2 linked regions of the Arabidopsis thaliana genome follow. The protein of the gene in region 1 interacts with the protein of each later gene in a biochemical or structural test. Each region holds a gene or a part of one and is shown on either strand. Other genes may lie near its edges. The genes, in order: FP6 and ACBP2.

What was found.
Region 2: the proteins of FP6 (region 1) and ACBP2 form a complex in vitro, tested with the Arabidopsis thaliana proteins (one study listed by BioGRID).

Annotation. Positions count from the first base shown.
Region 1 is NC_003075.7:18,032,109-18,036,556, reverse strand, and holds FP6 (farnesylated protein 6), read right to left. Parts: upstream 2,427-4,448; 5' UTR 2,202-2,426; intron 2,195-2,201; exon of another isoform or gene 2,070-2,194; 5' UTR 1,962-2,069; coding exon 1,884-1,961; intron 1,248-1,883; coding exon 864-1,247; 3' UTR 668-863; downstream 1-667. Other genes in the region: BGAL14 (beta-galactosidase 14), read right to left, coding at 67-162, 238-441; PIS2 (Putative CDP-diacylglycerol-inositol 3-phosphatidyltransferase 2), read left to right, coding at 3,466-3,523, 3,617-3,701, 3,813-3,862, 4,065-4,104, 4,205-4,249, 4,362-4,427. UniProt on the Arabidopsis thaliana protein: Heavy-metal-binding protein. Binds lead, cadmium and copper. May be involved in heavy-metal transport. May be involved in cadmium transport and play a role in cadmium detoxification.
Region 2 is NC_003075.7:13,845,395-13,850,528, reverse strand, and holds ACBP2 (acyl-CoA binding protein 2), read right to left. Parts: upstream 2,981-5,134; 5' UTR 2,756-2,980; coding exon 2,268-2,755; intron 1,992-2,267; coding exon 1,889-1,991; intron 1,809-1,888; coding exon 1,705-1,808; intron 1,442-1,704; coding exon 1,350-1,441; coding exon of another isoform or gene 1,345-1,349; exon of another isoform or gene 1,265-1,344; coding exon 1,167-1,264; intron 1,080-1,166; coding exon 900-1,079; 3' UTR 595-899; downstream 1-594. Other genes in the region: AT4G27790 (Calcium-binding EF hand family protein), read right to left, coding at 1-463; FEY (NAD(P)-binding Rossmann-fold superfamily protein), read right to left, coding at 3,966-4,301, 4,403-4,495, 4,617-4,718. UniProt on the Arabidopsis thaliana protein: Binds medium- and long-chain acyl-CoA esters with very high affinity. Can interact in vitro with palmitoyl-CoA, but not with oleoyl-CoA. Binds to lead ions (Pb). May function as an intracellular carrier of acyl-CoA esters.

The sequences.
Region 1 (4,448 bases):
ATGATCAAATCACCCAAAAAGAAAAAAGAAGGAATGATCTTAAGAGAGAATTGAAGTCGATGATACCTTGCCTTGTTCAGGCTCATGGACATTCCAGAAAACATAAGTTTGGATGGTGTTAAGTCCCCCAATTCTAGCTTTGTCAATGATACTGGGCCACATCTGCAACAAAACCAGAATCCGATCCATGAAGTGAAATCATCTTTTTGATTGGGTAATAATAAAAACAGAGTAGACGTGCTTACGTGAGGTGTGCTTCGAGGGTAATGAACAGAACCAGAGAAAAGAAGCTCTCTTTTTCCATTTATGATCAATGAAGTTCCGCTCAGAACCGTCGTATGTTACTCCTTTCTTCTTTTTCTCATCATCATGGCTGCTTGCCTTGGAACAGAGCGAAATTACAAGTAGAATCGCTATCAAGTATCGTGTTCTCGACTTCATCCTAATTCTACTTGATTTGCTCATCGATAAACACTTTGATACATAAATGTTACAACTTGTATTATATTGTTCCCTTGTTTTAAGGATGTCCTAGGTTAAAGAGGGAAGCTCGGAACCCTTGTTTCAACTACTCTCTCTATTTTAATTTAATGGTTTTCTTAACTACAACTTGATCCGCATTTGAAGCTTTCTTCACAATTACAAACCATAAATGAAAATAATTTAATTTTGGGTAGAAATATTTATTAACATTAAAAGTCTTTGGAAGAAAGGGAAAAACACATATTGCAATCATAAAGTGTAAGGAATACAGACCAAGGAACTAAAACCAAAACAAGAAACCTACCGTTATGGTATTAATGTACAAAACAAGACATTAAATTAAGCCATAACAAATTGAAACAGTAGTAGTCCATATGACATCACATGACCACACAAGCCGCCGGGTTCTCGTCGCTAAATGCAGTGGTGTAGCGGACCTCGGTGGAGCTAGCACGAGCCAGCTGCGACACTCCGGGGTCGTCGACTCTTCGGACATAACCGGAGGGTGCCTTCTTGTCGTAGACACCGGCAGCGTAAGGATGAGCGACCACGTCGTAGGGCACATATGGCCAGAGCTCGACTTTCTTGCCGGTCCTGTGAGACATTCGAGCCACCACCTTGTTGGGATCGACGTAGCCGACTACAGTGACTTTATGGGCTTTGGGCTCCAACGTCACAGAAGACACACCCTTCATGCCTTCGACAGAACGCCGCACTTTCCGCTCGCAACCTTCGCAGTCCATTTTCACTTTAATCTCCACCGTCTATCCTCATCAAGCAGTCGACACAAAACGACAAAATTAGCCTACTTTAAAAATATCTAAGAAGAATAGTAAATGTCCACAATTGAAAGACTTTAACCATATCATCATGACTAGTGAGAAAAATTAACGTGGTTGGTTTCCCCGGAAATTAATGATTTTATATAGTATTCCTGACAGCGAGAAGAATACAAATCCCGGTGTAAAATCTAACAGATGGCTGTATCAACTTATATTTCAGATTAAAAGAATCTATTCGGTCGGCGTTAGGAAGGAACATTAACTCAAAACAAAAACTGCTTCAAATAAAATCCCACTTATATCATGTAACAATTTGGATATACTTCTTCAGATAAAAAAACACAGAGATATTAAAAAAGATCTGAAGTAAGAAAGGTAACACAAATTAGCCAGCCAAAACCACAATAATAAACTTGCTAATGGCAGTCTATTTATGGAACTATAATATACGAGATCTACTAAGTAACACTCAAACTTTCCTAGTAACCATCGAAGCTAGTTTCTACTAGACTCATTCATCATAACTTTTCAACGAATTATTATGTTTGTTTTTTTGCAAACCAAGATCTAAGTTATCAGCTGAATCTGCTAAGATAAGAAAAGGAAGAGGGAAAGTACCTGCAACTGTTTGCGCTTTTTAATCTTGTGACCATGAGAGCAGTCAAACATTTCAGAGACATGATCAAGAACACCCATTTCTTCTTCTTTTTATTCCAGAAAAGGAAAAACCTGAAGAACCCAGGAGAGTTAAGAACTTTCTTTAGGAGGAGGAGGAGGAGAGAGTAGTAGAGCAGAGAGTGAAATCTGTAAAAAAGAGGGGCAAAAGGGAAAGTGGAGGTGTAAAGAAGTAAATGATGAATTGGGAGAATATATATAGGCATTATTGTAATAAGTAATACAGTATGTATCTAATTAAGTGAATGATGGATGGGTCACCTTTCTTTTCTGGTCCCAGCAGTTTCCTAGTCGCCGTCTCGATTCTTCTCTTCTTGCTAACGGTTTCCTAATTTCTAGTTTTTTTTTTTCGGTTTCTTTTTTGGATTGGCTTAAAACATTTCTTCATTCCAATTCCATGAATGAAAAAAAAAAGAGTTGTAATTTGTAAGAAAAAAATAAAATTACAATGGATAATAAAATTTTCTGTTTTGATGATGACTGAGACTGATCTTGGGACAAGAGTCGTGCGTTAGATTTTCTGCTGCTTTACTTTTTTTTTTGTTTAATAAATAATAATAAAAAAAATATATTCTTGGTGCATGGGAAGAAAGTAAAGAGAGGAGTTATTGTTTTTGGATAATCGATGATGACTCGCAAAGTCACACCGACGTACCGACCTTGATGACCAGATTTGTTTATTTTATGAAGCCCACTCCAAAATTTGGTCTAGGCTTTCTAATGGATTTTTCTGAGGCCCACTTACTTACCATTTTATATTTTTGGCGATTTTTTGACAAAAATCAACCGAGTTTTAATTCCATTTAGATTTGCAAGACTTGCAAGTAGAACCATCTGGATATCTGGACCCCCATGGGATTCAAGTTCATATATCCGAAAATCCCATCATCAATTATAGTCTTAAGCGATGAAGATACAAAGGTTTGTGGAAATTAGTAATGAGTGAGTAATGACTAATGACACAATCCGAATTCAGCAGTAAATAAAGTGTGCGTGGAAGAAGAAGAAAATTAACGATATATGCGTGTATGTATTGTTTGCAAATAAAATATGCAAATTTTCAGTGTTGAAGCGGCGAAACCGAGAAAAGTTTTACAAATAATTTAACAAATGTTAGTACTGTATTTCACAAATTGAATTTGAGAATATTAAACGAAAAAACGTTTTTGCTTGAGAGAGAGGCGAATCTGATTCTTGTGAGAGCTTCCAACAAAGTCTGCAGGCTCATCCTGCGGATCCCTTCGTTCCCAATTTCTCTTAGGCAGGTGAGAAATATTTAATTTCCCCATACTTACTTTGAGATTTGATATTTCCAGTTGCGTCTGAAAATCGATTGACCTACTTTGTTTGTGTGTGTGTGTTCACGTATTTACCGGATTTGGGGTTCCTCTGTCCGTACGCATTTTCCCACAAAGTTTGTTCCTTTTTTCTTTCTAATCTCGTGTAGGTATCCCTTCATTGGCGAGATCCTTGTTTTCTTCGTTGGGGAACAGATTGCCCAAACTGAAGTCTCTCTCTCTCTGTTATGGCTAAACAGAGACCGGCGACGTTGTCAGTCTACCTCTACATTCCCAATATCGTTGGTCGGTTTTTTGCTACTTCCTTTCTTCTGTCTTTAAAAATTTCATTTTTTTTAAACCATATGAGATTAGTGTTGTTACATGCAAAATTGGCAGGGTACATGAGAGTTCTCTTGAACTGCATTGCCTTCTCTGTGTGCTTCTCCAACAAGACACTCTTCTCCCTCTTGTACTTTTTCAGGTGACTTTATCCTTGTGGTACCAACATCATGTTCTTCTCCTTTTTTGATCTTGTGTGTTTGGTGCTTCTTCTTTCATATGTTAGTCACTCTTTACCCAATCTTGTTTCCAGTTTTTGTTGTGATGCTGTGGATGGATGGTGCGCTCGTAAATTTAACCAAGGTGCTCTTTTCATTCTCCCCATCTCTTTTCTTAGCTTCAACTAACTCATTACTTATGCTTCCTCTATGATCCTGACATTGATTAAATATGACATTTCATGTCATTGTCTCATTGATCAATATTTTTAGTCCCATACACAGTTTATTCTTGTTCTACATTATCAGAAACGATTGAACGTAACACACAACTCTTTTCCTTTCAGTCTCTACATTTGGAGCTGTTTTGGATATGGTTACAGATAGGTGAATCTTCCGCTACATATTCCCGAGTTTCAACTTGCTCATTCTTTTAATCTCATTTAACATTTTTGTCATATATTTTGGGGTCTGCGCATGGTTACAGAGTCAGCACAGCCTGTCTTCTCGTGATTCTCTCCCAGATATACAGGTGTCAGTGTTCTCTACTTCTTTACACTGACATCTCCGTTTCATGGACTTATCTGGTTTTCTACGTAATCTTTGTTTAACATGTAGTCTTGGACTTTCACAATTACAAACAGGCCTAGCTTGGTTTTCCTGTCATTGCTGGCTTTAGATATCGCTAGTCACTGGCTGCAAATGTACAGGTACTCTTTGTTGCTACATAA
Region 2 (5,134 bases), 4.2 Mb from region 1:
GCAAGTACTCTTCGAAAGTTATGACACCGTCCTTGTCCTTATCTTGTAGCTCAAGCTCTTTGGCGGTTCTGTAAACCATGTTGTCTTCTGTCTGTTGCATCATCCATGTCTGAAGCTCTTTCAAGCTCACAAAGCCATCTCTTGGAGACGCGTCAAGCAGAGGAAACAAGAACTTGATCCTCATTGTCGTGTTAAGCCTTCTCTCTTGTGCAAAATACTCCTCAAACATATCATCTTTCTCCTCTTTCGCAGCCTCCACGGTCTTCGTACCAGCTTCTTTCTCATGAGACAACCTCTCAATCCGGGTCACCAAAGGGTCAAACACCGGCATTTCAAGCCTCCGTCCGATGCGGCGGGTTATGAGACCCTCAATGGATTGAGTCTGGTTTTGTTTCTTATGAGCGAGGAGGATGAGGAAGATGATGGTGGCGGTTAGTATCGTGTAAACCACCACCTTGGCCATTTTCCGGTAGTCCAAGGTGGGGTAGGGAGAGAAGACGAAAGGGCCACGAAGATTGCTAATTCTGTTTTTGTATTTGCTTTATTGGGGGCTTTCCTTAAATCATTAAATTATGTTCTATCAACCGTTTTTGCCGCCAAAGTCGGTTATTTATTCGTTGAGGATCCAATGACTCTTCCTCTGTCTATATGTGTGTATTTATAGCAAACCAACAAAACCGGTTACGACATATCATAAAGCCTAAAGGAACAAAAGATTGTTAAAATGTAAGAAGAAAGAAATCAAAGAACAAGACTTGGTAACATCCAAGTGATATAGTGTTGGAACATCCCAGTGATGTGGTAGGGATGGAAAGAAAGTTTAAAGTAAAGAAAAGCTTCTTACTAAGTCATTTGATCATATACATTGCGGATTTAGAGAAGACGTGGTTAGTATTTGTTTAGTCTGCCTGCTTTGCAGAATCTCGGATCCAGGGCCAGTCTGATTCACAGAGATCAAGGGGAGAGTTTCCATCCTCATCTTTAGCGGCTGTGTTTGCGTTCTGTTTAACCAGAAACTCGGCGATAGCTTCTCTGTCGCATACAACAGCATAATGCAAAGGGGTTTGGCCTTCGTTGTCCTGTTCAACACAAGAACCAAAAACACATAAATAAAGAAGTTGCTAACTTTGCAGATAATGACTGGGTAGGAATTTCTCTTTCGTCACCTTAGCATTCACATCGGCGTTCTTATCGACCAGAACTTTGGCGATGTTGAGGTGGCCACGGTCTATAGCCCAGTGCAATGGTGTGCGACCTTCACTGTCTGCAGTTTATGGGAAAATTAGAATGCAGATCCAACATCACGAGAATGAACTTCCAAGAAACGGAATATACAAGCAGAGACTAACCCCTTGCATTTACAGGAATGCCGCTTTCAATGCTTTTCAGTAAATTCTCGACTTCTCCTTCTCTAGCAAATCCGTGTATGGCATCAATCTTCCTGAGAGATAAAACAAAAGTTCAATGAGCAGAGGATTAGTGTTTCATTCAGATAGACAGGAAGAAACGAACAGCTCAAAGTTCCATGAGACAATTGTAGCCATTTCACCATCAAAATTTGCTACAGCTAGAACGAGACAGTAATGTTACATATTCACCGAGTTTATGAGCCTCTTTCACAAATCAGGATACTTATATCTAATCTAGACATGAACGCAAGGATCAGGATATAAAACACATGAGAATACAAGAAGAGAACCTTACAACTCATTTTCGGACTCCTCATCATAAACCAAAGAGCTAAAAACTGGTCCCATGGTTCCTCTTGAGTTGGAGGCTGCATCATCCCCACCCCGACTTCCGGCTTTCTGTTAGTGAAGCTCACATGAACAGGCCAGAGGAAGAAACCGAAGCAATCAAACAAAGAAAAGGGGAAAAAGCTTTATACCACGCCACCGTCTAACCAAGTTGGGTAAAGCTGAGTGACAATCTCAATATACTTCTCCATCGCCTCTTCAGGTGGCATAGCTCCCAGTTTCTGCCATGCTTGCCTGAGATAGAACAAGATCATGGCACATCCCAATCAATGAAATTGCAATCTTACAACAAACCACAATTCCATATACAATCAACTGTTACAACAGTAAAAACCACATCATCGTCCAGCAGTTGCATAAGCTAAGAAGCAAACTAGGTGATTGTCTATGAAGAACCTAAAACCTCAAAAATTTCCACCTCAAATCAAATCTCAAACAGTTGAACAAAAACACCAGAAAATGATACATAGAAGTTAATGGCACAGCAGATTCAACGAAAGAGAGAGATACCACTTGGCACGAGCAGTCATTTTGAGAGCTGATGGCTGAGGAGCAGTACACGGCCCTTCCGTAGCAATCTTATACAATCCGTAAAGCTGCTGCTGCACATCACTCGGTACCTTCTGCGAAAGCCGATCTGCGGCGGCGGTAGTCACAAAAAGAGTGGCGGCGCTAAAAGCCTCATCGAGTTCCGTGCTCTCGACGCCTTCCCAATCATCATCTTCCTCACTGTCGTCACCGGCAACGCTATCACTTCGGGAGCTACCCTGCTCCGCCACAAGCGAATCCGCCTCACCACCGAAACCACCGCAAGAGGAATCGAGACGTCGCGAGTCAACTCCTTCCGGTTTAATTTCCAATTGAGACTCCTCTGGGTGACGAGTAAGAGAGAGATTGTCTTCTTTAAACGTGACGACGATCGAGATCAGCTTAGCGAGAAGGTAAGAGAAAATCAAACCTAGGATCACAGACTGAGCAAGTTGAGCCCAATCACCCATTATTTCTAAAAACGAAATCAAATTCTCAAAAACGAAAAACCAACGCCGATAATTAAAACCCTAGAGAAATTTCAACACAGAGTCTCACGAGGAGGATGAAGAAGAAGAAGGAAGCCAAGGGATCTGGAGAGACAAAAAGGAACAAACTTGTGTTGTTTTCCACCGATTCAGTCACCAAACAAAAAGAGAAGTTCCTTTTCGTTGTGGGCGTTAAGACTTTTTAATGAATTGGATCAAAGTTTAAAAGACGACACATAAAAAAACTTGGCGACGAGTGACGACAGATCACATATGGGTCTAATTGGGGAAGAAGTCGACGTGTTGTACCCTAATCTTTTTTGCTCCTTTTACCAACAAAATTAAATAAATATTTCACAATAACACGTAAAAAAGTTAATGAATTCAATAACAATGTCAAATTTTGTGGTGGAATCGTGGTCGAAAACAAATCTAGAAGACGTGCATGGTGTTGGGATGATTAAAGGCTTGACTCATACGACACGTAAATTGACATGTATCCATAAGAGAAAATAAGGTAGACCACAAACTTGAAGGCATTAGATTCACGTGAAGTGGGCACGAAAATGAAATCCCAACTTTTTTTCTTATAACAAAAGATAAAACTCATACATGATATTAAATAGTCCCACTTCCAAACATTGCTTGCTCAAATGAGCATCTCATGAAGAGAAAACCCAACCCACCCATACGAGTGAGTGAATCATTTTTACATGGAATACTCATTTAAGCAAGAAACATTAGAAAGTGGAAAGGAGAGTTTATCACTTTTGTGACTTTGTCACCATGAGAGTAAGAGAGATGATGACTCTAATTGATATATATCCCTATAACTATATATGAGCAACGTGACTCCACAAACAATAAAGAAAATTACGAAAATACCCTAAACTCAAACAAGAAACTACCCACCAACCCAGGCTACCATACTCTACTACTGAACATCTTAATAACTCCAAGACACACTAACCAAATACTTGAACAAGACTTGTAAGTAAAAGCAATGGAATGGTAGCTAAAGCTTGACTTTTATCCAACAATCAAACATTCTCAAGCAAACTACATGCCTGGGGGATTCATTCCCCACTGTATCGTGTAGATTAATACAAGGAAACAAAAAAAAAAGATATTTTCTCAATTACCTACCCTTTGATCTGTAATGGGTCACTTAACCTGTGGTAATTTTGAAAGACTATTCGTGTTGTGCTCCATACCGGCATTGGATATTTTCCCCTTCTATGAGCTTCTCAACTGCATCGAGAGGAAGACCCACCAGCTCTAACGTCTTTTTCCACACTCTCTGTGCAGTTTCTGTGTTGTGTGCTTCTTCGGAAGGATTTGCAGGGCGGCAATCTTGAGAGATGAATGGGCAAACAGGCCAATCATCGTTTTTTAGTGTTTCCCAGTACTCTGGAATCTGAGGATCTGTGGCCGAGAATAGAGAACTTCTACAACCTTCTTGGGGTGAAAATATGAAATAAGGTATCACTGCGTAAAGAGCTTGAAGAATCCTGGATAGATCCCTGGCCTGTAAATTTCGGAAAGAAATAGGCAGTTCAACGCAATGAATTTCTGAGAAAACAGAGGAATCCTGCACTTGTAACGAAATGAAGTGAAGCTAATACTCACAACATTTGTTAGGACAACACCAGGGGATAGACATACGACGCTGACTCCTGTTTCCAGAGGAAGCTTTTTGAAAAGAATGCTACTAAACATAATCTGGAAGATGGAAGATCAGAGAGCGAGACTTAACTCACCAGTTTCTGAAAATAAGCCTCTTTCAGAAAATGGAAACTACGGCAGATGAAAACTACGGCAGATGTCATTACTGTAAGCTCACCTGGGCAAGCTTGCTGCTTGAGTATCCTATAAGGCTTGAGTACTTACGTCTACCAGAAACAACATTCATGTCATCCGGGTCAACAAAACCGACACTATGCATCTACAAAAGTGAATCCCACAACCCATTATCTTGCATGAAAAAGTAATAATCAAAGACAATAAATATAAACTGTTTCAGTTTTCATAAACAGCCAGGCACAGAATTCTTCTGAAATGAGTAATGACATAGTGCAGTCATGGAAGCGTATTTGGGGTTGAAACTTTCAACAAGCTATGGTTGTATCGTTTCTCTATACCAAGACTGTGTTAATACAATATGCATATGTAGTTCAGTGATTTAGAGAGATCTATATCAGTTATCTACATATTCTGCAACCAATTGACAAGACCAGAGGTTTTCAAGTTACAGAATACACAAACAAATCAACCTGTCAACATGATTACTCATACCAAAGAGAATATAAACTAGAGAATACAGACTTGGAGCCTGCAGTATCAGTGATCATAGAGAACTTA